5 separate regions of the Mus musculus genome follow, and all the other regions are reported to be linked to region 1. The links are microRNA targets in miRTarBase. Many come from high-throughput screens and were not tested one by one. Region 1 holds a microRNA gene; each other region holds the end of a gene's coding sequence.

Region 1 (5,000 bases):
TTTACCAAAATTAGAAAATCCTTAACAATTTGTTTTTCAAGACTATTAAAGTGACTGAATAGACAAACTGGGAAGAAAATATTTTAAAGCACATTATCAGACATAGCAAATATCATATCTAAATACATAAAGAGTCTAAAAACTCAATGGTAAGGAGTGGTTAAGAGCACTGGCTGCTCTTCCAGAGAACCTGGGTTCAATTCCTAGCATCCATACGGTGGTTCACAACTGCCTGTATCTCCAGCCCCAGGATATCTAACACTCTCCCTATTTTCCAAGGTGACTGTATGCAAGTGGTGCACAGAGACAAGGATTTAAAATCCTCAACAGTAAAAGACAAAGAATTCAGGAAGAAAACAGGGAAGAGACTCAAGACATTTCACTGAAGCACTTGAAAATATGCTCAGGGTAGGGAGATGGCTGTCAGCATGGTGCCTGCTATACAAGTATGAAGACATGAAACTACATTTCTGTACCCACAAACTTGGGTGCAGTGGACATAATACACACACACACACACACACACACACACACACACATACACACACACACACACAGATGCTCATATAGGTGACAATGGGAGAAATGCACACTATAATCACAAAAGAAGTGTTATTCTATCAAATCATGTCAAGATGTGGAGAAACTGGAACAGCCACACACTGGAAAAGGGCACACTTTAAAAACAGCAACAACAACAACAAACCTGAATTAAACATTTATTTATTCAGTATTATACTTTTATTCTAGGAAAATGAAAACTCATGGTCAGACAAAAACCAGTACATGAACATCATAGCTAATTTATTAGACTCCCTAGCTGAAAATTATTCAGCTATCCTTCAATAAGTGAATAGCTAAGTAAATTATAGTACATCCATACCGTGGAATAGTACTCAGCAATAAAAAGAAAATTACTTATGTGTACAGCTTGGAAGGACTTCAAGGGAACTCTGCTGAACAAAGAAGAAACACAGCTCTCCAGGTGAAGTACACTCTGTCTATTCAACACTCTTGAAATGGCACTAGATGAAGATTAAGTTAGTGGTGCTGAACGGTTAGGGGAAGGGAGAGTCTCTGGCTATGAGAGAATATTGGACCCTTTCCTTACCAAAAAACAAACAAACAAACAAACCTGTCCTACAGCTTTTGTGCTGAGTACATGAATCTGCATGTAATGGAGTTGAACAGAAGCACACATGTCCATGAGCACATATTAAACAGGACAGCTCTAAAGACATCAGTGGGCCCAGTACAGCCATGGATCTGTGCTGTGATATTCACTACTGTTGGGCAAGATGCAACCACTTGGGAAATGGATCTCTATTGCTTCAATAAATAAGAGCAAGGTTACCACTACCCTAATACTAAAAGGAGCTGGTGATGCTGACAAAATGCAAACAACCTTGACCGAAACCACAAGACACAGGACACAGACCTGTGCTCTTCTGAGATGCCAGTATCAGGAAGCAGTAAAGAGACAGCACAACTAAATGTAACACACATTCTGGCCTAACTAATCTGGGGTTTTTGTTGCCCTTAAGGATACTTCTAAGCAGTTCTGGAGAACCTGAGAGAGCCGATAGGTCAGGAAATGTACTGAAAGGACATTCATTTACTGACTTTGATAGTTACAGTGTGATTATGTAGAACAACATTTTCTTTCATTTCTTTTTCTTTTTAAAACTGAGATAGAATATGGCCTGGAACGCCTGCGTAGTCCAACTGGCCTCAAAACCCCGAGTGCAGGTATTACAGGGTACAGCACCATACTTGGCATGTTTTTATCTTGTTGTTGTTGGTCTTGTTTTTAAATATATGACATAAACAAGTATTATCACAAGATCCTCATGGATTACGGCTGGCTAGAGTACTGGTTAGCTCACCTGGTTCCTGTCCCGAGCATTTGTGTACCTGATCTTCTGAATGAAGTAGAATATGAGCCACGCTGAAGAAATAATCATCAAAACAATAAAGGAGATTGACACGAAGACTAGAGAGCCACGGCTGAAGTTCTTTGGCGGCATTCGAGTTCCAACAGCTATTGTCATTTGTACAGAGATGTTTTTCTCCAGATAACTCAAAATATCCTTACCCCTCAATTCTGTTATCATGACAGCAATAATATCTCCCGTGCCTGTAATGTAAAACAAATACACAGACTAAAGTGACATCTGAAATTCATAGACACATCAAATAAATATACACATATGCTCCATAGAGAAATTACCATAATTTTCACTAAGGTTTATAGATTCCAGTTCAACTGACATGAGGCTGCAGCTGTGTAAACTGACAGGCATGAGAACATGTACAGTGCTCCAAACAGGTAACGCATAAAGCAACTGTGGTGTTAACAATGCACAAACTGCCTTACCGGTGCATTAGAAGCACTGTGAAAGCAGCCACCTGTGACTAAATCAGGTTAAGTCTTCAGTAGAAAACCTTTCTATAGCAATCAATCTGGAAAGTTCTGACAGAGAAGCACTGTCATTTACAGTCTGAACAGGTGGTCCTTGCACTACTCATCCTCACACGCACTGCTGAGCAAGGACTGCTCTAAGAAACAGAAAGAAGGGTACTTCTTAGGGCACACACTTGGCTATGGAGTGACAAGTGCCGAACGGCAACATCTTTTACCAACAACCTTTGAAACTAACTTTGGTCTTCTGTCTACAGTAAAGCTCCTTCCAGGGCACTTCTGGAGCTCAAACGCAACAATTTTCCCACCCAGTTTGGAGCCAGCATCTCACATTGCCTCGGCTAGCCTCAGACTTGAGTTTTATGTTAGTTTTCCACCTTGTTTAACCATGCCCAGCGCACTCAAATCCTCTAGGCAGGCCCAAGTTTCAACTTTCTGGACTACTACCCATAATGATACCTAAAACCTTCAGTTCCTAAAAGCTGTTCAGAGTTCTGCCCACAGGCACAACTTTTATAAGTTAATTACAAGGATGGTTCAGTTGTGTTTTCAAGTCCTTTTCTCACATGGCTTCAAGGGCCTGTTTTAAGTCAGAGTGAGCAGCTACTCACCAAGGTCACTTTTGTGAGTATGAAGGAGGATTGTGCATCCAAACACAAAATACCCTCTCAAAACAGCAAGCAGAGACCCCAGACCTGACCTTTTGAAGGCTCTGTCAACAAATATTAGAAACACTTGTTTTGATTTCTTGTTACCTTTAGCAGTCAAGATGAGACACAACAGAAACTCAGTAACAGAAGTTTTGAAAAAAATATAGCTCAATGGAATATATATTTGCATAATACTGTATTCAAAACGGTTTATTCACTTTATTAGAGTAGTAGTTTACCAGTTTATTTTTGCTTAAAAAATCTATAAACAAAAAGGAGACAACAAAATTAAAACTAGCATTATTAAGTTAACATCTGCCTCTGGTGAGTGAGTTAAAAAGAATCATAAAAGAATGCTAAACCAGTTTAAATTTCCATTTAGAAACCTTAAGTTTGTGCTTTTACAATGTTGATCAACAGGCATGATCTGTGGTGTTAAGATACCAGGTATGGCTATAAAGTAACTGAGACGGATCCCACAAACGACATATGACAATCAGTCTCATTGCTTTATAATCACACCAAGTACAATTGGTTTTAGAAATCAGTTCTGAGGCTCCCTCTTGAAGACTCAAGCTGGAAGTGGGGAGAGCTGCACAGGTAGCCAAGGCAACCAATCCAGTAATTTCCTTAACCGAACACTAAATGGGCGCGTCAACTAATCTCAACAGGAAGCTGTTTGGGAAAGAAAAATTTAATTAGTTCAACACTTGTCAATATTCACTGTTAGGAGGACAAGAGTGAATAGATCTCACTGTAGCTTTATCATCCTAGCAAAAAGAGGAGACTGGGCAATGTTGCCAAAGGAGACTGAAAATGATCAAATAAAAAAGTACAGCAGCACATCTGATATTAGTGAAGGCAGTGATCTCTTACAGAAGGTGATGAAGCAAACTACAAACCCTCCTAGGAAAAAAGTTTCTTTCTCCCCAACATCTAGAGCTGGGCTGGGTTCAAAGAGCCTAACAAGATGGCTCAGACATTTACAAATGGGGATGGGACTAAAGAGATGGCTAAGAGCACTGGTTGATCTTGCAGAGGACGAGGTTTGGTTCCCAGCATCAATATGGCAGCTCATAACTACTGTAACTCCAATTCTAGAGGGAACAGACACTCTCTTCTGGCCTTCGAGGGCTCTGTACACATGGTGCACATAGACTCATGCAGGTATACACACACACACACACACACACACACACACAATAAAAAAGTAAATAAACCTTAAAAACAAAACAAAAAACTCTTGGGAGAGTTGGTGCAGATTCAGGAGGGATGATGACAACAGAGGAAACTTAACCCTCAGGATAAAACTAGGATTAGAGTAGCAGTAGCTGGTAGGAGAGAGGGGTTAATTAGACTGAAGTAATGGAAACATTAAACAGATACAAAGAATGTGACCAGATCACCCCTATGCCTGTGTTCTGAAACACCAAGACATGGCTTTGGAGTTCAACAATCATGCAGCTATGTGTTCCTTTTCTACTGCTGTGGTTAAACATCATAGCCAACATAACGTATACAAGGAGGGGCTTGTTTGGCTTATAGTTCCATCATGGTGGGGAAGAATGGCAGCAAACTGTAGGTAGGAACTGGATGCCAAGAACTCACACCTTTTTAAAAACACTGTTAATTTCAATTATGTGTTTATGTGTGTAGCTTTGTGCATGCAAGTTATAGTTGCCTGTGGAGACCAGGAGTCACAGACCCCCTGGAAGGGGGGATACGGGCAGTTGTGAGAGACCTGTTGTGGGTGCTGGGAATTGAACTCAGGTTCTCTCCATGAGCAGAAGAATGCCCTGGAAACCTCTGAGTCATCTCTCCAGTCTCACATCTTGAACCATAAGCACTAAGCTGAGAGAACAGCAGTAAATTTTGGGAATCTTTAAACTTTCAAAGCTGGACTCTACTAATACACTCCTCTTCCAACA
Region 2 (6,643 bases), not on the chromosome of region 1:
GCAAAGGAAATTTGGAAGAGAAGTGTGAAAGATGATTCTAGAAAACACAAGCTCAGGTGGGTGAGATGGCACACCATACAAAGGCACTTGCTACCAGGCCTAAGGACCTGAATTCAGGACCAGTAATCAATGGTGAAGAGACCCTACTCCAGCTTTCCCTCAGACCTCCCCCACTATGGCACATCTACCTACACACAAGGAAATAAACAAGTATAATAACTGTAAAAAGCTGGGTGTAGAAGTCGGGTATAGTGACACACGTCTTTAATCCCAGGAATCAGGAGGCAGAGGCAGGGGGATCTCTGAGTTTGAGGCCAGCTTGGTCTACAGAGTGAGTTCCAGGTCAGCCAGAGCTCTAAAAGAAACTGTCTTCAAAAACAAAATAAAGAGCCGGGCGTGGTGGCAAAGGCCTTTAATCCCAGCACTTGGGAGGCAGAGGCAGGCGGATTTCTGAGTTCGAGGCCCGCCTGGTCTGCAAAGTGAGTTCCAGGACAACCAGGGCTATACAGAGAAACCCTGTCTCGGAAAATCCACCCCCCCCCCCCCCGCCCAAAAAAAAAAAAAAAAAAAAAAACCCAAAAAACCAAAAACCAAAATAAAGAAACAAAGAGCTGAGTGTGATGGCACATAATTTAAATCCCAGCACTTGGGGGGCATAACTAAGTGGATCTCTGCATTTCAAACCATTAGTGAGATACTGTTTCAAACAAAATTATCAAACACATTTTCACACCCAGAGCCAGAAATGAAGAAAAACATCCTGTTTGATTTCTTCCTACTAAGTTGTTGACAGCAGTCTTAACTGACTACAACAAAACAAAACAAAATCCCCTTCAACGACATTCCAATTACTTATACAGGGAACGTTTGTCAACCAACTTGGCTAGAAACAGCGGGATCTACAGATGTAGCAATAATCATTGCCACTGGATGCTTGGCCACCAACGAAAGAGTAACGTGTTTTGAGGCAGCAGCAATTCCATCTCCTCCCACAGCATCGCCCACATAAAGGAAGAAAAAGTCACGTTTTCAAGTCCTGAGCTGGGAGCCACGGTCCGCCTTTAATGACATCAGAGACACTTTGCTGCCTGTCCCTTCTAAGGCCTAACCGGGCAAGGCAGTTGGGGTCCAATGCACCCTTAGTGGCTGGATTCGATAAGCCAGGGGTGGCCGGTGGTGCTGCAGCGCATGCAACCGGTTAGAGCAGCGGTTCGGAGCACAGCACGGAGCAAATCCGGTCCTGCATCTCACCAGCTAGGGGACCTCGGCTGGGCTCCGGACGCGGGCTCTCCACTCCAGCAATGTCGCGGCCACGCCACGCCTCGGTTTCCCCGTGCTGGCTGCCCTGCCCCTCCTGGACACAACGCCTGCTACCTGCCGCCCGCCAATCCTCACCTTCTAGGCATCCCTTCCAAACTTCACAGCTGGCATCATCGCCCGGGCGACCACACGCAGATCATGCTTCTAGCAGTCGCGGAAGTCAGTAGGCTTGCACCGGAAGTCCCACCCAGGCTGCGGCGCAGGGCATGCTAGGAGGTGTGCTGGGGGGCGGGGCCCTAGCGAGGCGTTCATCTTTCTCCAGGTTCCCTGGGCTGTGTACTTAGCTCCTGGTGTTCTGGGTTTGGATGAATGATCAGTGTGTCGTTAAGTACTTTCCCGTGTGTGTCGTCCTCGGAGCCCACAACCTGGGACCGCCAGAAATGGACATTCATTCACTAAGGATTATTCTGCCTGGCCAACACATCACAGAGCTGCTGGCTAAGTAGTGGGGGGGGGGGGGCGGGAGGGCGGGGAGGGGGGGGTCGGTCTCACTCTTATGAAACAAAATACCAATAATTATCCATTATTAATTTTTTGTTTGTTTGTTTTTTCGAGACAGGGTTTCTCTGTATAGCCCAGGCTGTCCTGGAACTCACTTTGTAGACCAGGCTGGCCTTGAACTCAGAGATCTGCCTGCCTCTGCCTCTCCAGTGCTGGGATTAAAGGCGTGAGCCACCATGCCCGGCCCATTATTAATTCTTTTTTTTTTTAATTAGGTATTTTCCTCATTTACATTTCCAATACTATCCAAAAAGTCCCCAATACACTCCCCCCCACTCCCCTACCCACCCACTCCCCCTTTTTGGCCCTGGCGTTCCCCTGTACTGGGGCATATAAAGTTTGCAAGTCCAATGGGCCTCTCTTTCCAGTGATGGCCGACTAGGCCATCTTTTGATACATATGCAGCTAGAGTCAAGAGCTCCGGGGTACTGGTTAGTTCATAATGTTGTTCCACCTATAGGGTTGCAGATCCCTTTAGCTCCTTGGGTACTTTCTCTCCATTATTAATTCTTAACAGCTTCCTTAATTCTACTCTCCCTAGGCAGCTGGGTCCTCCTAGTGCCTAATAATGCCTGTGAGTAGGAGAAGCATGGCAGTGGCTTGAGGCTCAAGGCTGGTGAAAACCAAGCCTGGCGACTGGCCAGTTTGTGGGACCTGGGAAGGGCCTTGGTCTTATGGAGAACTGACTACAAGCTAGAAGTCACCTGCAACACTACTGGAGTGGGTACAGAATCATGAAATCAAAGAGTAATAGTGCATCCCTTTAATCCAACATTCAGGAAGCAGAGGTAGGTGTAACTCTGTGAGTTCAAATCCAGCCTGATATACAACAAAGCAAGTTTCAGAACTATATAGACACTGTCTCAAAAAAGAAAATAAGAGTCATATCAAGTCTGGCCCAGAGTTGGGTTTGGCCAGAGGGAGTCTGGGGCATTAAAGGAAACCTGTAGGTTCCTGGTGTAGGAACTTGTGTGGGGCAAGCCTGGTAAGAACTATCAGGCAAATTTCCCTGGGGTACTGTTGTTTCTTGAGACAGTCTATGTAGAACAGACTGATTGAGAACTGGGATCGTCTTTGTTCCTGGTACTCTGAATAAAGGCATGTACCACCATGCTCTATGGTGCTTGTACAACTTTAGGAACACTTCATACGTAAATTGAGAGTAGTGTAGTTGTGCAGCTCTCATCCGGTTCACTTGCAGTGGTGGAGAAAGGCTGACGGTTCCTCTTGATGGCAGCTCTGACTCAAGCCTTGTGAGCAGAGGGAACACTAGCCTGGTCTTCCTTTGTGTCCCGCCACCTTGCACTGCGATCTGCTCTGGGGGTGGGGACAGCTTCTAAAAAGCTGTGAGTTAAAGGGCCCAGTGGTTTAGTTGCTAGGCGTCCATCCACCCAGCCTTAGTGTGAAGCTAGGATGTGGCTCATCCGGCATGTTGATGTAGTGGCTCTGTGATATGTTGGGATATGTATGTGATATGTTGTGATATGTATGTGATATGTTGTGATATGTTGATGTAGTGGCTCTTGTGAATGCCTGACTCCAAGGGTCAAGAACTTGAGGGTCCGATAACCCAGCAATGGCAGGAATATCCTTTGTTTGTTGATTTTTCGAGTTTCTCTGTGTAGCCCTGGCTGTCCTGAAACTCACTCTGTAGACCAGACTGGCCTCGAACTCAGAAATCCGCCTGCCTCTGCCTCCCGAGTGCTGGGATTAAAGGCGTGCGCCACCACTACCCTGCAGGAATATCTTCAGATGCAGACCTTGAAGTTAAAAGAGCAGGGTAGCTCTCAAGCATGAATCCCTGAGTAAATGACAAGACAGTCTAAATGATCTTTAAGATTTATTTAGATCAGAAAGCTGTTGATCTCAACAGGAGGGGAAAAGGGAAAATAAATTAAAAAAAAAAAACAAAAAAACAACCTATAGGAAAGTGGCCCCCAAACCTTGACCCCTCAGCACAGCACAGGGAGCTGCTTATGTCTTGCCTGTCCTTCAAAAACCAGCCAGCCAGCCCAAAGAGCTGGTGCTGACCCCCCAGGTGGGTGTGTGCTTTAATTCCAGTCTGAATTGCACTATACAAAAGGCACACAAACACATTAACGTGCATCAAAATCGACAGCCCCAAATGGCTTTCCAAAGCTGACAGCACACAGTAGAGGGTGTATGAAGCTTTGCACTGTGCACAGTGTGTGACCTTGGTCCTATGGTCCTGGTGGGAGGACGGCAGCACGTACCAAGCGGTGCTGCCTCAGTGAGGCACGCGTCTCTGTACAGGCTGCTCACTTACACACTGGCTCACTTCGTGTTCCACTTGACAACACTGAGGCTGAGCCCGACCTCGTCCTAGAGAGGGTGGTGAAAGAAGCTTGTTACAAAACTGTCGTTTCAGCTTTAGTGGTTTTATAAAAGTGTCTTCCAGTAAATCAGTGAGTCTATCGAACAGTGGGACTTCATGTAAACTGTTAGGTTCAACTGGTGGAAAGGAGCCCCGTACTGCAGATGGCCAGTCACATGATTAGGCCGTGAAATGCTTTGATGAGGACTGCATAGACAGGAACACATTCGGAAGATGTGTGGTGCCTTCGGTGCAGAGGTGACGGGACCCGGTGGCAGGTAGAGCGTCTCAAGAGTCCACCTCATCTTTAACTTCACTAATTCTGTCGATAGACTTGAGGATTTCAGCAACAAGGTTCAGTGTGTCTGCCCCAGACACCAGCTGCCTAAAGCAGAGAGAGACCAGGGCCATTATTTCAGCCGTGCAAAGGCAGCCAGAGACAGATCTAAAGGAGAGAGCCCAGAGCTATCAACCAGGTTTGCCACACTGGATTCTGTGTGGCTGCCCTCTGGCCCATGTGCCTGTGCACAGGCCAGCCACCCTATAGTGAAGCTTAGGGAAGGCAACTAAAGATGGTAGGTTGCAAGCCAGATAAGTTCATCAGAAACTGATTCTGAATTTTGCTCTTTGCTTAGGCCAAGCTGATGATGCAGTACTCTCAGTGATGTGGGCAGTAGTCCCACCGCAAGTCCCATATCTAGTCATGAGAGCTCTACCAGGGGGACTACTTTGCTTTTGTGTTTAATAGGTCAGATGAATTAACTACATCTTGACAAGTTTAACAAGCTGCAGCTTTGGTGAGTGTTTAATCACCATTATCATCACCAACTGACTAGCTCACAGTATGCTCACTGTGGCAGACTTCTCCCCTTCAGTTAGAGCTGCAACGTACACAGGCAAAGCAGCTGGATTCAGAGGCATGGCATCATCCACACCTATTAGTGGGAAGGTTCTCTGGAACATCAAAAATAAAAATCCTAAAACGGGCATGATAATGCATACCTCAAGTTCCAGAACTTGGGAAATGGAAGCAGGAAATCTCTGAGTCTGAGGCTAACCCGGTCTACACATACTGTCAGAGAAGCCAGGGAGACTTTGTCTTAAAAACCCAAACAAAACAAAAATCCCTCAAAAAAAAACCAAGCCAGGTGAGGGGGTGCATGCTTTGAACTCTAGCACTTGAGTGCAGAGGCAGAAGGATCTGTGTGAGGTCAAGGTCAGCCTAGTGTACATAGCTCCAGGCCAGTCAGTGCTACAGAGTGAGACCCTGTCTCAAAACAAGAGACCACTCTTACTTGATTGACTATAGTATGACTGAGCCGGTCAGCACCTTTCCCTTGCTGGTCCAGCCAGAGGCCGCCCGGGGACTCACTTTATGGATGCGTGTGCACTGTTCATGACAAGGTGGAGGTTCTGCAAGGCCACGTCGGTGTTCTGCTTCACTACAGAAAGGCTGGCACCCTGGCCTGACCGCAGGGCTTCATTTTCTCGCCTCAAGTTTGAGAGCTGGGCCTAGAGAGAAGGGCGAAGTTAGTGCTCCCGAGGCAATTCAGCCTCTGCATCACGACGGGCACACATCTGGACACGGGGACCAGCCTGGCCCTGGCCTGTTCAAAACAGGTGCTTCTTGCCTCTGTAGCCCAGGCTGGCCTTAAATGTACAACTATCCTTTTCCTCAGCCTCCTGACTGCTCCGACCGCTGTGCTTGGCTTACACTATTTTCTCCCTCCCTGAACTCACATGTATGACAGCCAAACCTTTCTCTTTACTTACCTGAAGCAAATTTATTTCCTGTTTCAGCTTCAAGACATGATTTTCTGCTTTTACAGCCCGTTTCTGTGGCCCCCAAAAAAATAAACACAATGCACATCACCAAGGCTGTGTTAATACAGGACACCTACCTCAGGAGGCAGCAGTGCGCTATAACCTACCTTCCTGATTCCTCTGCCCATGGGTGCCTGCCCATGGGTGCCCACCCCTGGGACCAGCATCAGGGACCACCCACCCCGATAGAGAACCCTTTCACAGTGTCAGCGTATGCTGGCCCACTACAGTTCACACACTCAGCACGGTGAGAGCCGCCTGCTGAGCTCAGGGTCCAGCTGTGGACTCTGGCAACAGTAACAAGTGCTCTCTTGCAGCAGCAGCCCGGCCCTGCCCACTACCCCAGAGCGGAGCCCCTCCGTACGGTCATCAGTTCAAGGTTCTGTTCGACTTGCTGGACTACTGACTCGAGGTCATGGAAGTCACTCTCCTCCTTGATCATCTTCGCCTCCAACTTCCGTTCGAGTGTCCTCACCCTCAGTAGAGGAAAAACTGAGGTAAGTACTCCAGGCCACTGTCAAGAATGCTTCCAACAGCACTTTAGTCTGATTAGCTGGTGAAACCCACTAGAACCTATGGATGGAGCAGCTGCTTCAGGCAGCCACAGGATGTCAATGGCCTCCAGCCCGAGTAGCTTTATGCTCCCAATAGAAGGCCCAGAGA
Region 3 (6,643 bases), not on the chromosome of region 1:
TGTGTGTGCATGTGCGCATACAGACTTGCATGAAGGAGACTTGCAAGAGTTGATGCTCTCCTTCCAGCACGTAGGTCTCAGAGATGCAGGTCATCAGACTTGTTAGCGAGGGCCTTTATCTGCTGAACCATCTCTTTGGCCCTTAAAAAAGTATGTTTAATTCCATAATTTGTTTTTATCATAGTAGTAAGTTTCTATAATTAATCACTCTTGGACCTGTTCATTTCTGTCATGAGTATACTTATGACTATTAACTCTGAAGAACTAATTTTTGTTTCTTTATTCGTTTCTTTATATGTGGCCCAAGCTGGCCTACAGCTCACTGTGTGCTTAAAGACAGGGAATGATCTTGAGCGTCCTGCCTAGGCAGTGCTAGGGATTGAGCCCAGGGCTCTATGCAGATAAGGCACCCGCTCTGCCTTCTGAGGGATCTCTCCGGCCCCTTAAGTCTGTAGATGGTAAGCAGCTAGCAGCTTACTTGGTATTAGTTAAATGGTTCTCTGGGTAAAAGTACTTGCCACTAAGCCTGCATGCCTAGACTTGATCCCTAGAACCTGCCCCCCCACACACACACACATAAACACAGTTGCACACTAAATAAATGTAATTGAAGAAAATAAAAAGGATCCAGGTGTAATGGTGCATACCTTTAATCCTGCACTTAAGGATCTTTGAGTTCAAGGACAGCCAGAGCTACACAGAGAAAACTTGTCTCAAAAAATGGACAAGTAGAAAGAGAGGGAGTGAGGAGGAGGAGGAGGAAGAACAGAAGGAGAAGGAGGGAGAAAAGGGGGGGTAATTTTTTAGGTAATAAGCAAGAAGATTGCTGTGAGTTAGAGGCCAGGATAAGTTATATACACCTTAGCTCAGAAAGCCAAAACCAGGGCTGGGAGATGTCTTGGTTGATCAAGTACCTGCTACACACTTGAGGACTTGAGTTTCCATCCCTAGCACCCACATAAGAAGCTAAGTGTGGCTATATATGTTTATAAACCCTCGTGCTGAGGGAATAGACAGACCCCCGGGGCTTGTTTGGTCAGCCTAATCAGGAAATACGGGGAAGAGTGACAGAGGAGAGTGTCAGAGGAGAGCTCCTGGCGACCTCTGGTCTCCACAGATGCACACAGATAAGATGAGAGCATACAGCCACAAACAAGCTCATTCACCACACACAAACCACCCCTCCTGGGGCTGTAAAAGTGATGTGCCGCGTGTGAGGGCTTTAGTTTGTTAAATGATCCAGAGGTAATTTGGGGGCTAGAGTTTCTAAATGAGAAACACCTCTAAGCTTTCTCTCTCCCTTCCATTTGGCAGCATCCTTTCCTGAAACTGGCCAAACCATTGTCTAGCTTGACGCCACTGATCCTGGCAGCTAAAGAAGCAATGAAGAGTAACCGCTAACATCGTCACCGAGGCCTCCTATTCCCTTATCCATTTTTTAAAAGAAGTCTTTTAATACATGAAATTGTTACTCTGAGGGGTGTAAAGAGACAGTCTGCATCACATGGAGGAAAAAAAAAACTATTATTTTCTAAAGATGACCAAGAGAAAATTGCAGTAAGAGAGCTATGACTTTGAAATGAGCCCCTGCTTTAGGGTCCAAGAGGAACGGTGGACTGCATCACTAGCCTTACATGTCCCGCAGACCGCGCTTGACGTTCGCATACTGTGTGATGACTTTTAGTATGGCAGATCCTGTTCCTGTCTCCCCTGGGGGATTTCCCATACTTGAATGTCAGATTCAAGTTTTTCTGAGTATTTCATCTGCTGATCTTCTCTCCTTCGTGACCTTCCCTTCCTCTAACCCTTTCCTTTTAAGTTGTCGTTCGGAGTTTTTCTTATGCCTAAATGCAAGGCAGATGTGATAAAATGATTGATGTAGCTCTTTACATTGGGAAAGGAGCTTGACATGCTTAGCTTCCTATAGAAGTCAGGACCGGCTGGTGTGCGGAGTGTTTCAGTTCAGAGCCTAAACTGAAAGGGGGAAAGTATGTGATTTTTACCTTTTTTAACAAATGTGAAAGAGTCAGCTTTAGAAATTTTGTGGTAGTAAGTTTGACATTTGTTACATGTATAGAAAGAGGACTAATAATCTATATTTATAACTAAATCATTGATACAGAGAAGAAAAATCCCACTGACTGTATATTCTCACCATTTTGTAGTCTTTCTCTGCCTGTTTCTCCTCATATTTGGCTTTAGGAACCAAAGTGATCTGCGCTTGTTGACGCGGGCTGTGTGACTTTGGTGCCACTCCCTTCCTGTGTTTCCTTGGAAATAAGTGTCTGTATATGTTGTGATTTTAGGTGTCCGTTTTGAATCAACCCTTATTTCACATACACCCCCTCCACCCTCTAGGGCAAGTAATAACCATTGAATTTTCAGAATTTAAAAGTTAAAAGATTTTTCCTATTTAAAAGGAAAAATATTTGGGACTAGCAGAAACCAAGTGAGATTTGAACCTTGGTGAGTTCTAGGCTAGTTGTAATAATGAAATGTCAATATTGTAGAGGTGAAGTTTCTGACAGTAAACTGTAAAGACTCATCTAATCTACAGTGTTCCTGACCCATTATCAATGTTTTACTGTTTATGACAGATGAAATAGTGCAGTACTTGATGGATCATTTGAGGTGTTGGGTACTTTAGTGTTTGTTTTTCCAAATGAGTAGGGTATTCATTGTAAAAAAACAAAAACAAAAAACAAACTGGAGAAAGGAAACTGCAGTGTTCGTATTGTTAGTAATACTTTTATTTTAAAGATTTAATAAAAGGTCTGTGACCTGTAGTAGTAGCTGTTAGCTGCCCTCTCCCCACTCCTGCCTTTCCTCTTCTCTGCTTCTCTGTATTGCTTTGTTGTTTTGCCTGTGAGGAGGTATTGCTGTCTATCCTATGGTCCTGCAACCATAGGAAAGAAAATCCCTGTGGTTGGTTCAGGTTTGTCCCCACCATCCCCTTTCAAAGAACGTGACACATACTCGCCCTGCCATTCTGCAGAGTACAAATCATAAATGAGTAAGTTTGCTCTTTGGGTTGGGGGAAGGGGCAGGGTTTCATTTCCTGGTGTTCCCATTAGAATACAGGATAAGAAGAGATCACTAGGGGCTTTCAGCAAAAGTCAACATCTAGAGCACTTACTGGCCTGTTTTCCATGCGAGCTCCTTTTCCTCTGGACTGTATTTTCCTACAGCTTTCACTAAATTACAGGAATAAAGTGGTTTCTTTGTGGTGGGAAGCTAGGCTGCCTCTTGAGTTCTGGCTGTGAGTGTTGTTTGTGAGCCGCTGTCTGGATAGATTGTGATGACAGTGCTGCCAGCATAGAAGAAAGCCAGCTACATGGTGGCACTGCTTAAGAAGGTGCTCCATCCTCAATCCTCGAGAGCACCGGGGACACAGGCTGCTGCCCCTCCTTAGGCTGTGACTCCACACCGGCTTGTCCACACAGAAGCAGTCTGGGGTTTGTCCTTAGAATTTCTTGGATGGTTATTTACATGTCCATTGCTGGCGACGGACTCTGTCATTCAAACCTGACTCCAAGGTTAAGGGAGCTGCACTGTGCTTTATTCTCTCCTGACCTGGACAAACTAACCTGGAATAGTTAATCGTAATGGTTAATTTTGAGATGTGTCATTTTTAAACAGAATAATCTTTAAAGCAATATAGAATTGTGATTTATTAGTTAATTTTAAATTAAAATTTTGAGATCCTGTTGAAAGACAATTGTATGAATTGAGATTCTTTTTTTTTTTTTTTTTTAAAGACTTGCCTCTGTATTCCCTCTTTTGCCATCTCTTAGAGTAAGAATCCCCATTGGAGCCTCCCTTAGTCCTCTTGTGTCCTTAGGAACTGTTTGCCCTACCACTTATTTATTACCTTGCAGTCTTTGTGGTGGCCGCAAAGGCATCTTCTCTCCTTCTGCTGCACTCTGTTTACAGAGCACCATAGCCACCCACAGCAGTTAGAAGGAGCGTGAGTGCAGCTTGCTGCACCATGACCAGCATAGCTCTGTCTGCACGCATTGAGTTCCCTTCAACAGACAGCTGTCTGTCCAGTGACCACCAGTCCTAAATGTGCTATGCCGAAATATCTCTTCATGGGCTCATGTGTATGCACTGTGTTCTTGCCTGCATGCTTTATACCTTATCAGACCATGGTTAGAATTAGAAGGTAGGTGTTGAAACAGGCTGCATCCAGTTTTGAATATGAAAATCTTAGAAGCATACTGAGATCTGCAATCACTAAACTGTCAGAATGTATGGGCCCCGTGAGCATTGGGCAGGGGCAGTGTCTGCTTATCCTAGCCACTAGATCAGGAGAAGGAATTCCTTCTCGTTGGCATCTGACCTCAGCAGACACTCCCCCCGCCTGCTCCCACACGGTTATCATAGATAATACAATGTTTTCTTTCTTTTCTGAGACAGTCTTGCTGTATAGGCCTGGTTAGCTTAGATGAGTCTAGCCTGGAACCCACAGCTATCTACCTGCCTCTGCTGCCCAGTAGTGGAATAATGGCATGCACCACTGTGTCCTGTTTAAACTTTTTTCTAATGTCGTTTCAGGCTATATAGTTAATGGGTCCAGGAGTGTAGCTCAGTGGTGAGTCACATGCCTATCATGCACAAAGCCCCAAGCTTGAACCCGTGCTCCACTAAAAACAGTATCTAGGCCACTACTTGACAGTATTGTATAATTTCAAATTTTAAAAAAATTGCTAAAATCTTGTTAAATGTTTCCTTTTGGTTTTCTAACAATCGCACTGACAGGACAGATTGCTCTGTCAGCGCTGTTCTGTGATGCGTATGTGTGATGTTCTGTGAAGTGGCTTTTCTGAAGCTGCGTGTAGGAAACATCCCCACACATTCCCTCTCTTATCAGTACATCCGCTGACCACTCTGGCAGAGATGCTGTGTTTGATATTAGAGTTACGAACAGATTCAAGCATTGGCCTGGTCTTGAAAGAACTCAAGTCTTTCTCATTCACTACCCTATGCTAAAAACAGATAACCTTGTCAAACATGCTATTTCTGCGTCAAGAAAAACAATTAGTTGAAGTTCAAAGAAAGGAGTCACTTTTTTATGTATTTATTTTTTGGTTTGCTTTCCTTGTTTTGGTAGGTAGAAATTGAGTTGGGTAAAAAGCCTATTTCTATTTTGTTTTCAGATTTTATATTGCCTTCTATTTTTAATTTAATCTAACATAATCAACTGTACTTTGCTATAACTGCTGTATTTGTTGACTGAATAATTTTGTTCTTTCAGGGCTAGAAATAAACTTTCATGTCCATTTTCTTTTCTTAAATTTCCATTTTTGTCAGAATAGCATAAAAGCATAAATATTTAAAAGTCTTAACAGATTTTCAGCCGGACAGTGGTAGCACACGCCTTTAATACCAGCACTTTGAGAGACAGAAGCAGGCGGGTCTCTAGAAGGTAGAGGCTAGCCTGATCTACAGAGTTCCAGGACAGCCAAGGCTACACAGAGAAACCTATCCTGAAAATAAAAGTGGGGGGAGGAATCTGGAAAGACAGCTCAGTGGATAAGATCAAAGCTGCTTTTTCAGAGGTCCTGAGTTCAATTTCCAGCACCCACATGGTGGCTTACAACCATCTGCAACTCAGGTTGCAGAGGATCCAACACCCTCTACAGACATACATGCAGACAAAATACCAGTGCACATAAAATAAAGGATTTTCTAAAAAATTAAAAATAAATTTCAAAGAAAATATTAGTATTTTGAAGGGGACAGGAGGGACAGGGTTCCACATAAATAAAAATAGCTAAGACTCACATACACACATACCCCATATCCAATTCCATCCAGTACAAATGCTCACACCCTGAATTTCACAATGTGGGCAAGTACTCCACTAACTGAGCTATATCCCCGCTCTGTGTGCTAGTATTTTAAAGGGTAAATGTTTTAAACCTGTTAATAGTGTCATGGTACCAAATGTTTTTTAAATAGTCTCATGTAGCCCAAGCTGGCATTGAATCTGATACATAGCCAAAGTTTGTCTTGAACTTCTGATCCCCCTGCCTCCACCTTCCAAGTGCTGAGTGAGATTACAAGTTCACACTCTATACTAAAGCTCCAAATTTAAAAAGGTTCTATAAAGGGGGTTGGAGAGATGGCTCAGTGGTTAAGAGCACTGACTGCTCTTCCCGAAAGTCCTGAGTTCAAATCCCAGCAACCACATGGTGGCTCACAACCATCTGTAATGATATCTGATGTGTCTTCTGGGGTGTCTGAAGTGTCTGAAGTGTACTTCCATATAATAATAAATAAATCTTTTTTTAAAAATTCTATAAAGCTGAGGTAGGGGATAGAGAGATAGCTTGAGGGTTAACAGTACTTCATTTTAGCCGGGCAGTGGTGGCGCCCGCCTTTAATCCCAGCACTTGAGAGGCAGAGGCAGGCAGATTTCTGAGTTCGAGGCCAGCCTGGTCTACAGAGTGAGTTCCAGGACAGCCAGGGCTGCACAGAGAAACCCTGTCTGGGGGGGGGGGGGAGGGATGGGGGAGTGCTTAATCTTGCAGAGCATCCAGGTTCAGTTCCCAGCACCTGCATCATGACACACAACCATCTGTAACGCTAGTTCCAGGAGATCTGACGCCTTTTGACATCCTTCTGCACCAGGCAAGCA
Region 4 (6,643 bases), not on the chromosome of region 1:
ATTGACTTTGATGGATCCCAGGGCTGCTCAGAGTCCCAGTAATGCGATAACAACCCTGACGTAACAGGATTAAGCCTGGACAGACCTGTGTGAGCCGGCACTGACTTCATCGTGTTCATTTCACGGGGGAAATATTACACCCATCCATTACAACTAACTTTTCCAGGAAGCAGATTTTAAATCAGTGTGTGACCTAGGGTGACCCTGGGTGGCCATGGAGAAAGAGTTCCTGCGTGGGCCCTGGGTGGGGGTGCATGGGGGCCCCAGCCCTGCACCCAGCCATCCTGGATGGTCAGGCCTCATGGCTTGCCCTTGACTTATAACTGTGGTCATATGGGATGGTTTGAAGAGGAAGGAAGCCCAGCTATGAGCTTGGCTCCTGTGGCCTTTGATCAAGGCAGTGATATGGGGTAGGGGATTCTGGGCCCCACTCTGGGCCCTGGGGATCCAGCTGCCAGGACACCTGCCTCACAGGGCTCTTCTGCTCCTAGGGGGTCGTGTGAAGACCTGGAAACGGCGCTGGTTCATCCTCACAGATAACTGCCTCTACTACTTTGAGTACACCACGGTAAGTGAGGCCGCACACCCTCCGAAGCCCTGGCATTCTCGTGTCTGTCAGGCCTTGCCTCACATGCCTCTCTCTTAGGACAAGGAGCCCAGGGGCATCATCCCCCTGGAGAACCTCAGCATCAGGGAGGTGGAGGACCCCCGGAAGCCGGTACGTGCTGCCCTGTGCCCGCGGCCTGCCTTCCACCCTACCCAACCCCCACGCCCCTGACACTCACCCCCTTCTCTCTGTCAGAACTGCTTTGAGCTGTATAACCCCAGTCACAAAGGTCAAGTCATCAAGGCCTGCAAGACGGAGGCCGATGGCCGTGTGGTGGAGGGCAACCACGTTGTGTACCGGATCTCTGCCCCCAGCCCGGAGGAAAAGGAGGAGTGGATGAAGTCCATCAAGTGAGTGGGCACAGCCAGGCTGCTCAGTCGTGTGTGGACACGCGTGTGCATGTCAGGGGTGTGTGGACACGCGTGTGCATGTCAGGGGTGTGTGGACACGTGTTTGCATGTCAGGGGTGTGGGCACGTGTATGCATGTTGGATGCCTTTACTCAGTGTGTCAGCAACTGAGCAGGCCAGCCTGGGTAACTCACCCTTGACCCTGCTGCTTGGGAAGCTGTGGGTGAGGCAGGCAGCCAGACCTTCTCGAAGCTCCAGCCCACTTTACTTCCTTTCTTCCCCAGAGCAAGCATCAGTAGGGACCCGTTCTATGACATGTTGGCCACGAGGAAAAGGAGGATTGCCAATAAGAAATAGGTAAATGTCAGGATCCAGACTCCAGCAGATACACTGGCCTCCCCAGCGGCAGGACCGGGGACGATGTGGTGCCCACGGGCCCTCCAGAACAGCCAGCCAAGGCCTGAGCCCTCAAGCCTGTGCTCTGGGACATTGGTCAGCTGGGAGTGTCTCCTTCCTGCCACCGGCCTGGCATTGACCTTTGGGGACCCTTGTCCACAACAGCACCTGGTGATACAGCCTCCAGATCTGCACAGCCCACATGGGACTCCTGTTCTGGAGCCAGAGCCTCACCCACACCATGCCACACCTGCTCTTTGGGGCAACACTAGATGTTCTAGAAGTCGCTGTTTTATATCAAAATGGGAAAGGAAAACCTACCACTTTTTTATTCAGAATTTTTCTCAGATATATAGGATTATAGCTTTTATATGCCTTTTTATATTCTGAAAATTATAATGAAAGATACTTAATTTCTAACAGTAGTATTTTTAGAATGGCAGCTATAAACTTAACTCCTGGACACACGTATATACTGTGCACTGAAAACAGTCTATATATGCAGCCCCCATGCACTTGGGGCCAGAGCAGCTGGGGCACAGTCATCCTGACAGAGTGTCAGCTGGGTGAAGAGGCATTGGGGTGAGTGTGGAGAGCAGTGTGCTTGGGAGATTCAGGCGTGACTGCCACTTCCCCTCACATGCTTCTCTAAGATGAATCAGTAAGGTACAGCTATGGCCGGGGTATTTATCCTGTCAGTGCCAAGGCCTGGAGATGGAGTTCCTTCTCTGGAAAACAGGCCACTTATGTGCAGAACCTCCTCTTGTCTGACCTTCATACAGGACAGTTTCATGTGGTCCGAGTGCACATGGCTCATGACTTTGGTACTTTTGTTGCTTGCTGTTTCAAACTTGGGTTAAGTGCTAACACATATTTTGATGTAGTAAGCAAGCAGAAGCAGCCAGAAGTAATCCACCTGTTCTCTGGAGTGCCATGTTTTCCAACATTTGACATCCTTTGGAGGAGGTGAAAAACTGAAGATGGCACTGAGGGACACGTGTGACATCCAGACCCCTAACACACACACACACACACACCAGTGCATGCCTTCAGGGCATATGTGCTTGGGCTGAGACTGGGTAAGATGAGAGGGCCCATTCATGGCTTATTTGGAAAATGGTCTTCCCCTGCACGTGGAGCTGGTGTTCTGAGAGCCCTTGAAAACCGCCAACCAAATGCCCTTACACGAGACTTTCAGTGAGCTGTCTTAAGGCTTTTTGCCTGACCTTGGTGGTAGCTGCCATCTAAGATGGCACAGAAGGATGTGCAGGCCAGAGCTCCCTCGCTCGTGCACCAGACTGATCACTTTTTGGTTTATTCCCAAGCTTCTAGGCTTTGCTTTTACTGATACCTCAAATCTGAAACCCTTGCATTTGAGCTGCCTGGCTGGTGTGTATGCAGCCTGGCTTCCAGTCTTCCATGATCCCTATCCCCTATTCCCCACCCCAGACCTGAATTTACTGCTGGTGGGGCACCTGTAGGGAGGTAGGAACTGGCATTTTTTTCAATCAGGACCATGGTGAGCCGGTCAGATGTTCAACCCAGGTGTGGCCCTGGGCAACAGAGCTCTCTGTGGGATATTGAGGTCAGGACGTTAAGCATGAGGCTACCTAATGTTGTCTTTGATGCCATAGTCATCTTTGAGGGGACCTTGCCTGATGGCTGTTGGTGCTAAGAATCCTAAGTTACTGGCTCTTGGAGTATCCACATGGAGTCACTTAACTCAGGTTATGTTGTGACAGTGTTAAACCCAAGGGCATCTGCCACTCCCAGAGCTTGTAAAGGCTCAGGCACTCCTGCCCTTCACCCTTTGTCTGCACTCGTCAGTGAAGCATTAAAGCCCTACTCTGCCCAAAGACAGTTCCCTGTCCTGCTGGGCCCTGGGCATCATTCCTGGGTTTCAGAAGACTTGATGTGGTACTGCAGAGTAACTAGGAACCGTCTGGGGATGGGACTTACTGTGCTTCCTGTCATGCTGAGTTCAGAGCTACAGGTGTGCTTTGCTGACAAGTTAGGTCGTTACAGACCAGAAACCATGTTGTGATTTCTTTTTATCTTAGAAAACATTTCTATTTACAATAAATAGTTACTATGTAAATAATGTACATATGTATTAATTTCTTCAGTGTTATACAATGTATATACTCCTACAACCTGCATGAAGAAATATCCTATTAATGTTGATATCAGAATTTCTGGCTATTTTATTGCAAAGCAAACAGCTAGTAAAATGGAGGGCCTTACGGCTGTCAGAACTATTGCAAATACTGTGTTCCCTAAATAAAAACATACTGCTAAAACCAAAACTGCCTAAGACTCAATTCTTTAAAACAGACATGGCTATGAGCTTGCGGAGAACAGAGTAAAACTGAGACGGTTGTTTAATTTGCTGCCATTTATATACTATATAAATCTTACATGCCGTATATATACAGTGGGGCAAGTGCTTTTTTAATCTTAAAAAAACAAAGATCAACTTTAGACATCTCTGAACAACACAAACTGTATAAACCATACAGAGTATTCAGATACACACTGTATTAAATACAGTCTTCTCCCCACTCCCGTCTCCTGATGCAGGACCAGTGAATTATAAGTGTCACAGTTTTATAGCATATCCATATTAAAAATAAAATCACAGTATGATTTTTGTCTGTAACTAGAAACTTGAAGGGATCAAGCTGACGACTCAGACTTCAATATCATATTGTCGAGACGAGACACAGTATAAAAAGTGTTAGGTAAAAAAAACATACTGTAGGCTTTACAAATAATGTCTGGATTATACATTCATAATGCAAATACTCATCATAACTGGTAAATTGATTGGAATAGTTCCACAAAGTTCAAAAACAGAACTTGTCTATAAAATACATCTTCAAATCTTGAATACAACTAAAATGTGAACAAATTAGTTTCTATATCAGACATTGCAGAGGAAGCCCTCGAAGGTCTCGCTGAGAGCTTGGGTCTTTAAATAAGTCTTTAATTTAAATAGACGCACTGTCGCTTGTCCTTTTGAAGTCCATGGTTCCCAGCTGGCCGTGCACCAGGTGTCTAGCGTGGAGGAACATTACATGAGATACAAGTAGTCAACCTGAGTCTGTGGTTAAGCAGCATTTGAGATGGTCTATTCCAGGGCATTATTGTCAGTGTGATTTTATGTACACGGTAATTTACAATGTTCAGCAGTGTAGAAAGTATCCGTTTGGAATAAGGGCAATTAAGAAAAGGTAAAAACTGAAAAAAGAAAAGAAAAAAAAGAAAAAAGAAACAGTTGTCCATGGTAAACTCTGTACAGTATGTACTAAAGAAGCACCACGCAGTTCGGACAAAGTTATTCTCTATGTTTATAATTTAAGCTGGGTTGGGGATGGCTTCTGTTCAAAATGTTGAATCTGAAAGATAAGAGGTGCAGCAGGCATTAGACGAACAGAGGTTGGTCTCACACTCTCTGGATGTGTTCCCAAGGCTTTTGAAAGTTCCTGAAATTGCCTCTCTACCTTCCTGAACTGCAGTAGAGAACCCTGGAATGCCAGGGCAGCGCCACCTGCTGGGCCCCAAGCTGCAAATCACTCAGCCCTCAGACACCACGTTCACTGGGCAGAGGAGGAGAGAGGCCCAGAGGCTTTGTCTCCATGACACGGAGGAAGCCTGCGAATTAGCTGAGGCGAGAGCAGCAGCTCATTTTAAAGCCTTTGCTGACTAGACCTGCCCTCCATCACAGAGTTCGGGCTCTGAGTTCCTGTGTCTCAGGGCCACACAACACAACACCAGCATTAGGAACCAGATATACCCTGACCCTTGTTTGGCCTCTCTCTGCTCTCAGATACTTAACTCCATTTCTTAGCACAATTTCCACATCTGGATGCTAGCTAGTGACTGAGTCCTAGAGGCACAGACACGCCAGGACCCTCCCCTTCACCACCCCTGGTTTTCACCAGAAAACCCACCTATATCCACTCAGCACTTCCACAAATGACCAAAACGGGGACAATTGCTTACCGTAATTTTGTTGTTGTAAGGCCAAGGCTGTTTAGTCACCTAGAAGGCAAAGTAAGGAACATCTTTATTATGCGTGTGTTCTGCAGACTTAACGATAATCAGTTCCTACAGCTCATTATCAGCTGCTGAAAAATCACTCGGATAGCAGCATGAGCTGGCAGTGCCACAAAGCACCGGCACAGGACCGTCAAGAGCCACACAAGAGGGACCAGGTCTCAGCCCCAGCACAGAGCTGCACATTCTCGGGTGGGTGACCATCCTTTCAGGCTGAAGCAATGAGCTGAGTCATACAAAGAGCTGGAGGAAGGGCTGGTGTCAGACCCAGAGCAGCGGTGTCTAGCTGCAGATCCAGCTGCAGTGTATGAATGGACTGCCAAGGAGCAGAAGGTTCCACTCGGGGTCACCAAGATGCCCACATCTCTGTAGTGACACACATGTCCTTTATTTGTGACCATGATCTTTGGGTGTCCGAGGCAGAATTGTCAAGCTTTTTATATCAAGGGCCAGGTGATGAGAAACGTCTCAGTGGACAGGCTATGTCCACTGCTACTGAGTGGCACCAGAGCTAACACATAGCACCTGGGCTTCCACAGTGCACTGACCCTGACCCTCCCACCTCGGTGCTCGCTGTGAACACATGCCAGTCTTCTGCACTTTGAACTGTTGAGAGCCATTCCTAACTCCAGGCTAGACTGGCTGCAGGTTGCCAGCCTTTGCACTAGCCCCACCGATGTTCACAGCCTATGCAGTTTCTACAAGCCCAATGCTCCTGTCCAGAGAGAATGAATGTTCACGGAGAGAAAGCAGCCAAGCACACTGGCACTGGACTGTAATCCCAGCACTCAGGATGCTAACATAAAACTCTGAGTGCAGGCTAGCCTGGACTACATAGGAAAGTCAAGGCACAGGGGCTGCTGTATACAGACCTACTCACTTAGAGATCAGCAAGAACCACCCCAGAAACCAGCAGCCTGAAGGATACCAGAGCCCCACACTGCAGCTACACCTCTAGAGATCAATCACACTATTGATTTATGACTTAGGAGCTGGGGTACACTAGTGCATTTAGGGGTTCAGAAGTTAGTACAACACACACAAAGATGTGCACATAAAAACATATATGGGCACAGAATGCTTTAATAGCCCAAGTTCTACTGTGTGACACTCACAGACGCTCCAAGTTCCAGGGATCTGAGTACACAGGTTGTGCTGAGCCTAGCTAGCTCTCTGCAACTTAGGCCTTCCACAGAGCTAGACACTCCCAGCCAGAGATTAAAGCACACCTC
Region 5 (6,643 bases), not on the chromosome of region 1:
TTCCTTCCTTCCTTCCTTCTTTTCTTTCTTTCTTTCTGGCATCCACCTATCTTTAAATATCTGCCTACTCTTTTGCCATAGTGTTCTTGCTTTAGTATTTCCTGCTTTGCCATTATTGACTTTTCTTTTGTAGCCTTCTCCAGAGGTTACCCTGACCTGCAACCCATTCATTTGTGTGTCCTCTTCGGTTTCTTTCATTGAAGGGTTGTTTCCAACAGGAAGGGCTTGCCTGTGTGCGGTGGTTCAGAGTGAGAATCCTCTATACCTGCTCTGAACTGCCCTCCATGGTTGCTCTGAATTTCCTTCTCATGTAGACTTAAAGTGGAGAGAGAGTTCTGCAAGGTCAGGTAGGCATCATAGGAACTGACAGGGGTGGCAATGGAGTGGATGTGTGTATATTTAGAATTAGTAAATACTTGACCCACATCTCTCTTCCCAGGCCACTAGCCTCAGTTGACATGGTTTCTTTACAGAATTCTGAGTTCTGTACCCTTTCTTCTGATTTGGGGTTGGGAATTCTAAGAGGATAAGTGTTTACATCTAGTGCAAATACATTCGTGAGGTAACTCCTTGGTTTGTATAGTTGATTGACAAAGGCAGAGGTTGTGTGTGTGTGTGTGTGTGTGTGTGTGTGTGAGAGAGAGAGAGAGAGAGAGAGAGAGAGAGAGAGAGAGAGAGAGAGAGATCTGGATTCTGTATATCTTCTTAACCATGTAAGAGGAAGACTCTTCCTCCAAAAACTGGCTCCTTATCCTCCCTTCCTTCTCTGTCCTCTCCTACCTAACAAACGCATCCATGTGCCCTTTAAAACCATAGCTCTGAGCCCGCTGGTTCAAACCCCTTTGAAGTCTTCCTTCATGTCTCTAATAAAAAGTTCACATCATTGTTGGCATTCTGAGTCATTCATTTTTCCAGTTGTATCTCCCAACTCTTTATGAGTCCTCCAGTCCATCCCAGCAGAACTGTTCCCCACTCCCATTGTCCCTTCTACAAGCTTCAGGAGTCATTGATCCATGACTCTTGAGTTTTGACCTATGACCCTTGAGTATTGACCCATGACCCTTGAGTATTGACCTATGACCCTTGAGTATTGACCCATGACCCTTGACCATACCACTTGTATTCTGAGTTGTATTTGAGCTACTTGAGTACATGTAGCTCACAGCCTTGCTCAGACTCCAATTCTTGGAGGGCATAGCTATATGAAATCCATCTATCTGCTCCCCATGTCACAAAATAGCTCTTCTGATTGGCTGGAATGAATCAAAGTGCTCCCGTGTCTCCTGCAGAGGTTGTTAAGCCAGGCCAGTGGCTCCTGAACTGCACAGGCAGGTTCAACAGATTGTTTTGGGGGAAACTGCTGATTTTGGAATGATTGTTTCAGGACACATATATAGGTCTCAACCCCAGCAATGAGGCTGGAGCTCAATGGGAGAGCATGGTCTCACCCTTCCCTCCATTTCTGAGCCTCCTGGTTGGCTCCTGATCATAAAACTTCTTCAGGACATTCTTTTGGCAGGGGGCGGGGGGGGGGGGGACAGAAGCTATCTCCAAAGTCCCATGCCATGTCTGGATAGTTCACATCTGAAATATAGTCAATCCTGTTTAGTACAGCCACCTGTGTATCATCTTTCAAGTCCACTGGAAATCTCCACACATCCCTCTGTAAACCCTACGTGAAGCAGATTACACAACACACATCTGTTGCTTAAAGGTGCCCATTAAATCAACATCCAAATTAAATCAATCATCCAAAGCAAACACAAAGAGGAGAGTGCCCTAAAGCTCCATGATCCCTCTAACTCGGTGCCTACTCTTATCTCACTGTTTCAAAGCCAAAGGGGGTCTGAACACTTAAACAACTTTTCTTTTGAAACATGATTAGAAAAAAAAATTAATGATTAATTTCTTCAGTGGCTCTAAATTTGGGCAAACAACTGGAAGCTCAACTGAGCTGTTGTAGGGGCCACATGTGTCTAACAGCTGTCCTGAGCCTCATCCATTGCCTGGGATGTATGAGAGGAAACATTTCATACAAGTTTCTAAGTGAAGGAGCAAATGAGCTAACAAGTGTGTCTTTTTATGTCCTCCAACAGACTACAACGGCAGTGAGTTAAAAACAGCTTGCAAGAAGCATGAGCTCTATGTGAGCTTCCAGGACCTGGGATGGCAGGTGAGTCTCAGGGTAAGGAGGGTGTAGTAGGTGCCTTGATCTTTTCTCACCAATGGCTGCTGTCATCAGCTTCCTGGAGCTGCCATAGCAATCCAAGGAGCCCTCAAATGTTCAAGCCCCCTGGAGTTAAGACAGGAAAATCCAGCCTGCTGATATACCCAGTGGTGCACCCTGGTCCTTTTGTGGGTTTTCAAAGCTCTGTGACATCCTCAAACCCAAGGCCTACTTCTGTCTTACCTCATCCTTTCAAAGTCCAAGGGGATGGGCATATTTATTTGTACATTTGAATAACTTTTATTTTGAAACAGGATTACAAAAAAAAAAAAAAAAGTGATGCATTTCTCCAGTAGCTCTAAACTAGCTCTGCCCCTGCATAGAAGAACATGTTTGGCCCATACACCAAGTCCAGCTCTAGATGTGATGAGAAACGGGAGACTGACAGGAACATAATGGGATCCTGCAGAGGATCCTTTGGGTCCAAGTCCACACAACAGATCCCGGCTTCCAATGTTTTAACTGACCACGTTTCAGCTGTGTGTGTTCAGTGGATCTAGTACTCTGAGTTTCGAAGTTGAGCCTTTCTCTGGGCTATAGTCTCCTCTCCTCAGTGGTGGCAGCAGAAGCTACAGCTCCTGATCAGCCCCACAGTGCACTGTGCTAAGCTAGGATGCTCGGGACATTAGGTATACTGTGCGCACTTTCAACTGGCATTTTATTGGGGTGTAACCAAGGAGCATTTGTACTTCGAGCCATTCACCCATTCTCATAGTCAGGGTTTCACTGCTGTGAACAGACACCATGACCAAGGCAAGTCATTGAAAGGACAACATTTAATTGGGGCTGGCTTACAGGTTCAGAGGTTCAGTCCAGTATCATCAGAACATGGCAGTGTCCAGGCAGGCATGGTGTAGCAGGAGCTGAGAAATCTACATCTTCATCTGAAGGCTGCTAGCAGAATACTGGCTTCCAGGAAGCTAGGATGAGGGTCTTAAAGGCCCCACACACAGTGACCTACCTACTCCAACAGGGTCACACCTACTCCAGCAGGGCCACACCTTCTAATAGTGCTACTCCCCAGCCCAAGCATATACAAACCATCACACCCACTTAATCCCAGACCTAACAGGTTCCTAGCAGCTAAGAGCCCATAGAAAGACTGGAAGCTCTAGGGTCTGACAAACAGGCTCAAACTTCACTTGAATGTGAACTTGGGCAATTCCCAAAACTCCCTGCATGTCCCCATATTGTGCACCACGGACAAAGCCTTCTCTTGGGGCCACTGAGAGTGCAGATGGAATAGGGTTGCCTGGTGATCCTTCACTGCTTCCTTTTGCTTTATCTCAAGGACTGGATCATTGCACCCAAAGGCTACGCTGCCAACTACTGTGATGGAGAGTGTTCCTTCCCACTCAACGCACACATGAATGCCACCAACCACGCCATTGTACAGACCTTGGTGAGTGCTCCAACCCGGCTGTAAATGGGATCGAGCCTAGATCTGGTGTCATTTCTAACAGTGCCCTCCCACACTTCTATTCTGGAAACAGGTCCACCTTATGAATCCCGAGTACGTCCCCAAACCATGCTGCGCACCAACCAAACTGAATGCCATCTCGGTTCTTTACTTCGATGATAACTCCAATGTCATCTTGAAAAAGTACAGGAATATGGTCGTGAGAGCTTGTGGTTGCCATTAAGTTGAAGCTGGTGTGTGTGTGTGGGTGGGGGCATGGTTCTGCCTTGGATTCCTAACAACAACATCTGCCTTAAACCACGAACAACAGCACAGCGAAGCGGGATGGTGACACACAGAGGGATCGTGACACGCAGACACATCTCCCGCTGGTGCCTTACCCACGGAGGCTTTTATGAGGACCTTGTCAAGGGCTTTCCCAGTTCCTAACTGAGCAGTTGCTGGTCTGCAGGAAGCTGGAAGGCTTGTAGTACAGGCCTGGAAACTGCAGTTACCTAATGTTCGCCTCCCCCAACCCCGCCCGGAGTAGTTTTAGCTTTTAGATCTAGCTGCTTGTGGTGTAAGTAGAGAGTAAACTTGAAGGAATATTAAATATCCCTGGGTTGAAAGACCCGGTGGTGGCTCTACAGCACCCATCCCAGGGAGATTTTTGCAGACATCCGAATGGAGGGGAGAAGGGCACTCTTTCAGGTTCCATTCCCAGCAAGGGCAGCTCACACAGGACCTGCAGCCTGGCCATCAGCAGGCTCTGTGGAGGTGCCTTCTGTCTACTGTTGTAGTTACGTGTTTTGTGTTGACTCTCGGTGGTGTGAGAATGTACTAATCTCTGTCAAGACAAACTGTAGCATTTCCACCCCATCCTCCTCCCTCCCTCACAGAATTCTTTACTAGAACCCAAAGTAGACAGACCGTACTTTGTGGCAGAGCCATGAAGCATCTGCCGTAGCCGTCATTTAAGCCACAGAACAGCAGAATTTGATTCTACATCTCGTGGGCAGCCTGGCTGGACATGCGTGTTAACATCAGGAACACTGGCTCCAACATCGGCTCTGTAACCCCTAACTCTGCTCTTTGCCTTTTCCCTACCTAAGCATTCCATGGCTCAGGGCTAGAGTCTAAAGCCGAAACCCAGAGAGGGAAGGGCCCTGCCTGTAAGAATGGGTTTGTCAAGGTGAGCATGCTGTGTGTAAACCAAAACCACCATTTCCTCCTGTAGAAAGTAAGACTCAGACTGAATCTTAGAATATTTTTTAAATGTCCTTTTCACAATCATGTACCGGGAAGCCAATTTCATACTAAACTGATTAAATAATACATTTACAATCTGTAACTGTACTTACAGCCTTCTTTGTAAATAGAAACTATAATTTATTGTCTATTTTATATCCATTTTGCTGTAACATTTAAGCAAAGACCAGACTTTTTTTCTTTAAAAAAAAAAAGTTTATTTAGAAAGTATAAACCAAATTGTACCACTTGAGTTTTCTTTTCATATAAGACCATGATGCTAAGCTGAAGCCACTGTGAGCTGGGCCAACAGAACTGGTTTCCAAGGACAGCTGTGACCCACACGTGATTAATAATAAACGTTCATAACAGGCTGGCGGGGCGCCTCTGCTCCTGATGTTTTGGAAGCAGACGTGGTCTGGTTTCAAGTCTCCTTGCTACACGTCTTGTGCCAGGTGCTGATTTCACCCCGCTCGTGGGAGGTAGGTGAAGGGCCTGGGCACAAACACAGTGGTTCTGAGAACAAGACAGACAGAGGCATGACGTGGGCTGCATCTTCACAGAGTTACGAGCAGCGGCGTCTAATAACCTGGAAGGCGGGAACCGGAAGTAGCCATGCGATATCCAACCTTGGGCTTCCTAGGCAAGGGCAGCCCTGCCGACTGCAGTCTTTGGTCTGGAGGTCAGATGAATCCCACTGCTCAATCATTAGAGAGATGGTCAGCCTCCTTTAAGGTGGAGATTATAAAGCGAGCTGCTAAAAGAACTACTTAGGAAGAGAATCAGAAGCTGTTTCTAGGAAGGCCCGAGAGGAGCTGCAGAGACTCCCTGGTCCTTGGACCTGGGAAAGCCTATCGGGTGAGGACCCACCTTGTGGTGCATCCCATACCCTCCCTTTCTGCAGAAGACGTACATCTCCACACTCCACCCTATGCGAAGCAGACAAGAGGATCCTTTGAACAGCATGAGTATTTGGGGCACACATCAGAAGTACCATTTGTTATGGCTTACCTCTCTCCACTAGAGAAGTAATGAGACCCAGGAACCCAGCAGTGGCTATGAAGGGATCTCCAGGGCTCTGTGGGCTTTTGTTTTGAAATCTGTACACTATGGACCGACACCTTACTAAGTCAACAGTGCCGCAGGCCTCCTTCCCAAAACTCAGGCAATGCAACAAATTGCTCCTGCGAGATGATGTCCTTACATCCCTGGGAGCCAGCAGAGTTCAGCAATTTGGCTTTCCTTGACTGTATTTTAAGTTGCAAAGGGAGCCAATTTAATTCTGTCAAGAGAAGGGTTACAGGATGGATCGCCACTGAAAACGTTTGGTTTGCCCAGGGACTGTGAGCCATGATTAGAGAAACTTAAGGTCCGTAGTGTGTGGTGGCTCAGAGAGCACACAGGAAGCAACACAAGCTCAATACATTCAGCTTTCTGACTAACCACAGTGAAAACACGTGTGTCTGTGTGAGGTCACGCCTAAGCCCAGGCTGGATGACTTCCCCGGGGTCTCCTATAGTTCATCCTTTGCCTGGCGCAGAACAAAGCTGTGTAAGGAGTCGAGGTCTCTACCTCCGTTGTGTTCTCCCACTTTTTCACCTCCTCGGAAAAGCAGCAACGTGGGATAACCTCGTACCTTTAAAGGAGAAAGAGAGAGTGCTTTAAGCCACACACACACAGAGAGAGAGATGGTTCAGTCTGTAAAGTGCCACACACAGAGTAAGTATGAGGACTTGAATTTGGTTCTCCAGCATCCATGTACAAAAAGT

Evidence for each region. The annotated mature microRNA mmu-miR-340-5p reads UUAUAAAGCAAUGAGACUGAUU and lies in region 1 at 3,567-3,588, opposite strand. An mRNA with a match to its seed (bases 2 to 7 or 8) in the 3' UTR can be bound and repressed. Matches are read on the target gene's strand: a 7mer-m8 pairs with bases 2 to 8, a 7mer-A1 pairs with bases 2 to 7 and ends in A, and an 8mer does both.
Region 2: miRTarBase lists Entr1 as a target of mmu-miR-340-5p. Seed matches in the 3' UTR shown: 7mer-A1 at 4,222-4,228.
Region 3: the mRNA of Pak2 is a reported target of mmu-miR-340-5p. Seed matches in the 3' UTR shown: 7mer-A1 at 2,099-2,105 and 7mer-m8 at 4,130-4,136.
Region 4: miRTarBase lists Cyth3 as a target of mmu-miR-340-5p. The part of its 3' UTR that is shown has no 7-base or 8-base seed match.
Region 5: miRTarBase lists Txndc5 as a target of mmu-miR-340-5p. Seed matches in the 3' UTR shown: 8mer at 5,617-5,624.

The regions. Positions count from the first base shown.
Region 1 is chr11:50,068,308-50,073,307 of GRCm38, reverse strand. It overlaps Mir340 (microRNA 340), which reads right to left and starts at 3,606; the gene lies at 3,509-3,606. Rnf130 (ring finger protein 130) reads right to left here. Exons shown (of 9, transcript NM_021540.4): 3 at 1,887-2,137.
Region 2 is chr2:26,379,154-26,385,796 of GRCm38, forward strand. It overlaps Entr1 (endosome associated trafficking regulator 1), which reads right to left. Exons shown (of 10, transcript NM_026563.3): 7 at 6,345-6,456; 8 at 5,930-5,992; 9 at 5,529-5,668; 10 at 3,647-4,541. The coding sequence ends at 4,445. It overlaps Snapc4 (small nuclear RNA activating complex, polypeptide 4), which reads right to left and starts at 1,500. Exons shown (of 23, transcript NM_172339.4): 1 at 1,396-1,500.
Region 3 is chr16:32,014,938-32,021,580 of GRCm38, reverse strand. Pak2 (p21 (RAC1) activated kinase 2) reads left to right here. Exons shown (of 15, transcript NM_177326.3): 15 at 1,315-5,291. The coding sequence ends at 1,401. Among named protein-coding and RNA genes, the nearest start is that of Senp5, 15 kb to the right of the region's middle.
Region 4 is chr5:143,706,593-143,713,235 of GRCm38, forward strand. Cyth3 (cytohesin 3) reads left to right here. Exons shown (of 13, transcript NM_011182.4): 10 at 492-568; 11 at 647-718; 12 at 803-957; 13 at 1,241-3,658. The coding sequence ends at 1,313. It overlaps Usp42 (ubiquitin specific peptidase 42), which reads right to left. Exons shown (of 18, transcript NM_029749.2): 17 at 5,358-5,396; 18 at 3,733-4,750. The coding sequence ends at 5,389. Among named protein-coding and RNA genes, the nearest start is that of Usp42, 22 kb to the right of the region's middle.
Region 5 is chr13:38,495,199-38,501,841 of GRCm38, forward strand. It overlaps Txndc5 (thioredoxin domain containing 5), which reads right to left. Exons shown (of 10, transcript NM_145367.4): 10 at 5,068-6,510. The coding sequence ends at 6,388. Bmp6 (bone morphogenetic protein 6) reads left to right here. Exons shown (of 7, transcript NM_007556.3): 5 at 2,097-2,173; 6 at 3,519-3,629; 7 at 3,721-5,116. The coding sequence ends at 3,870. Among named protein-coding and RNA genes, the nearest start is that of Gm31834, 29 kb to the right of the region's middle.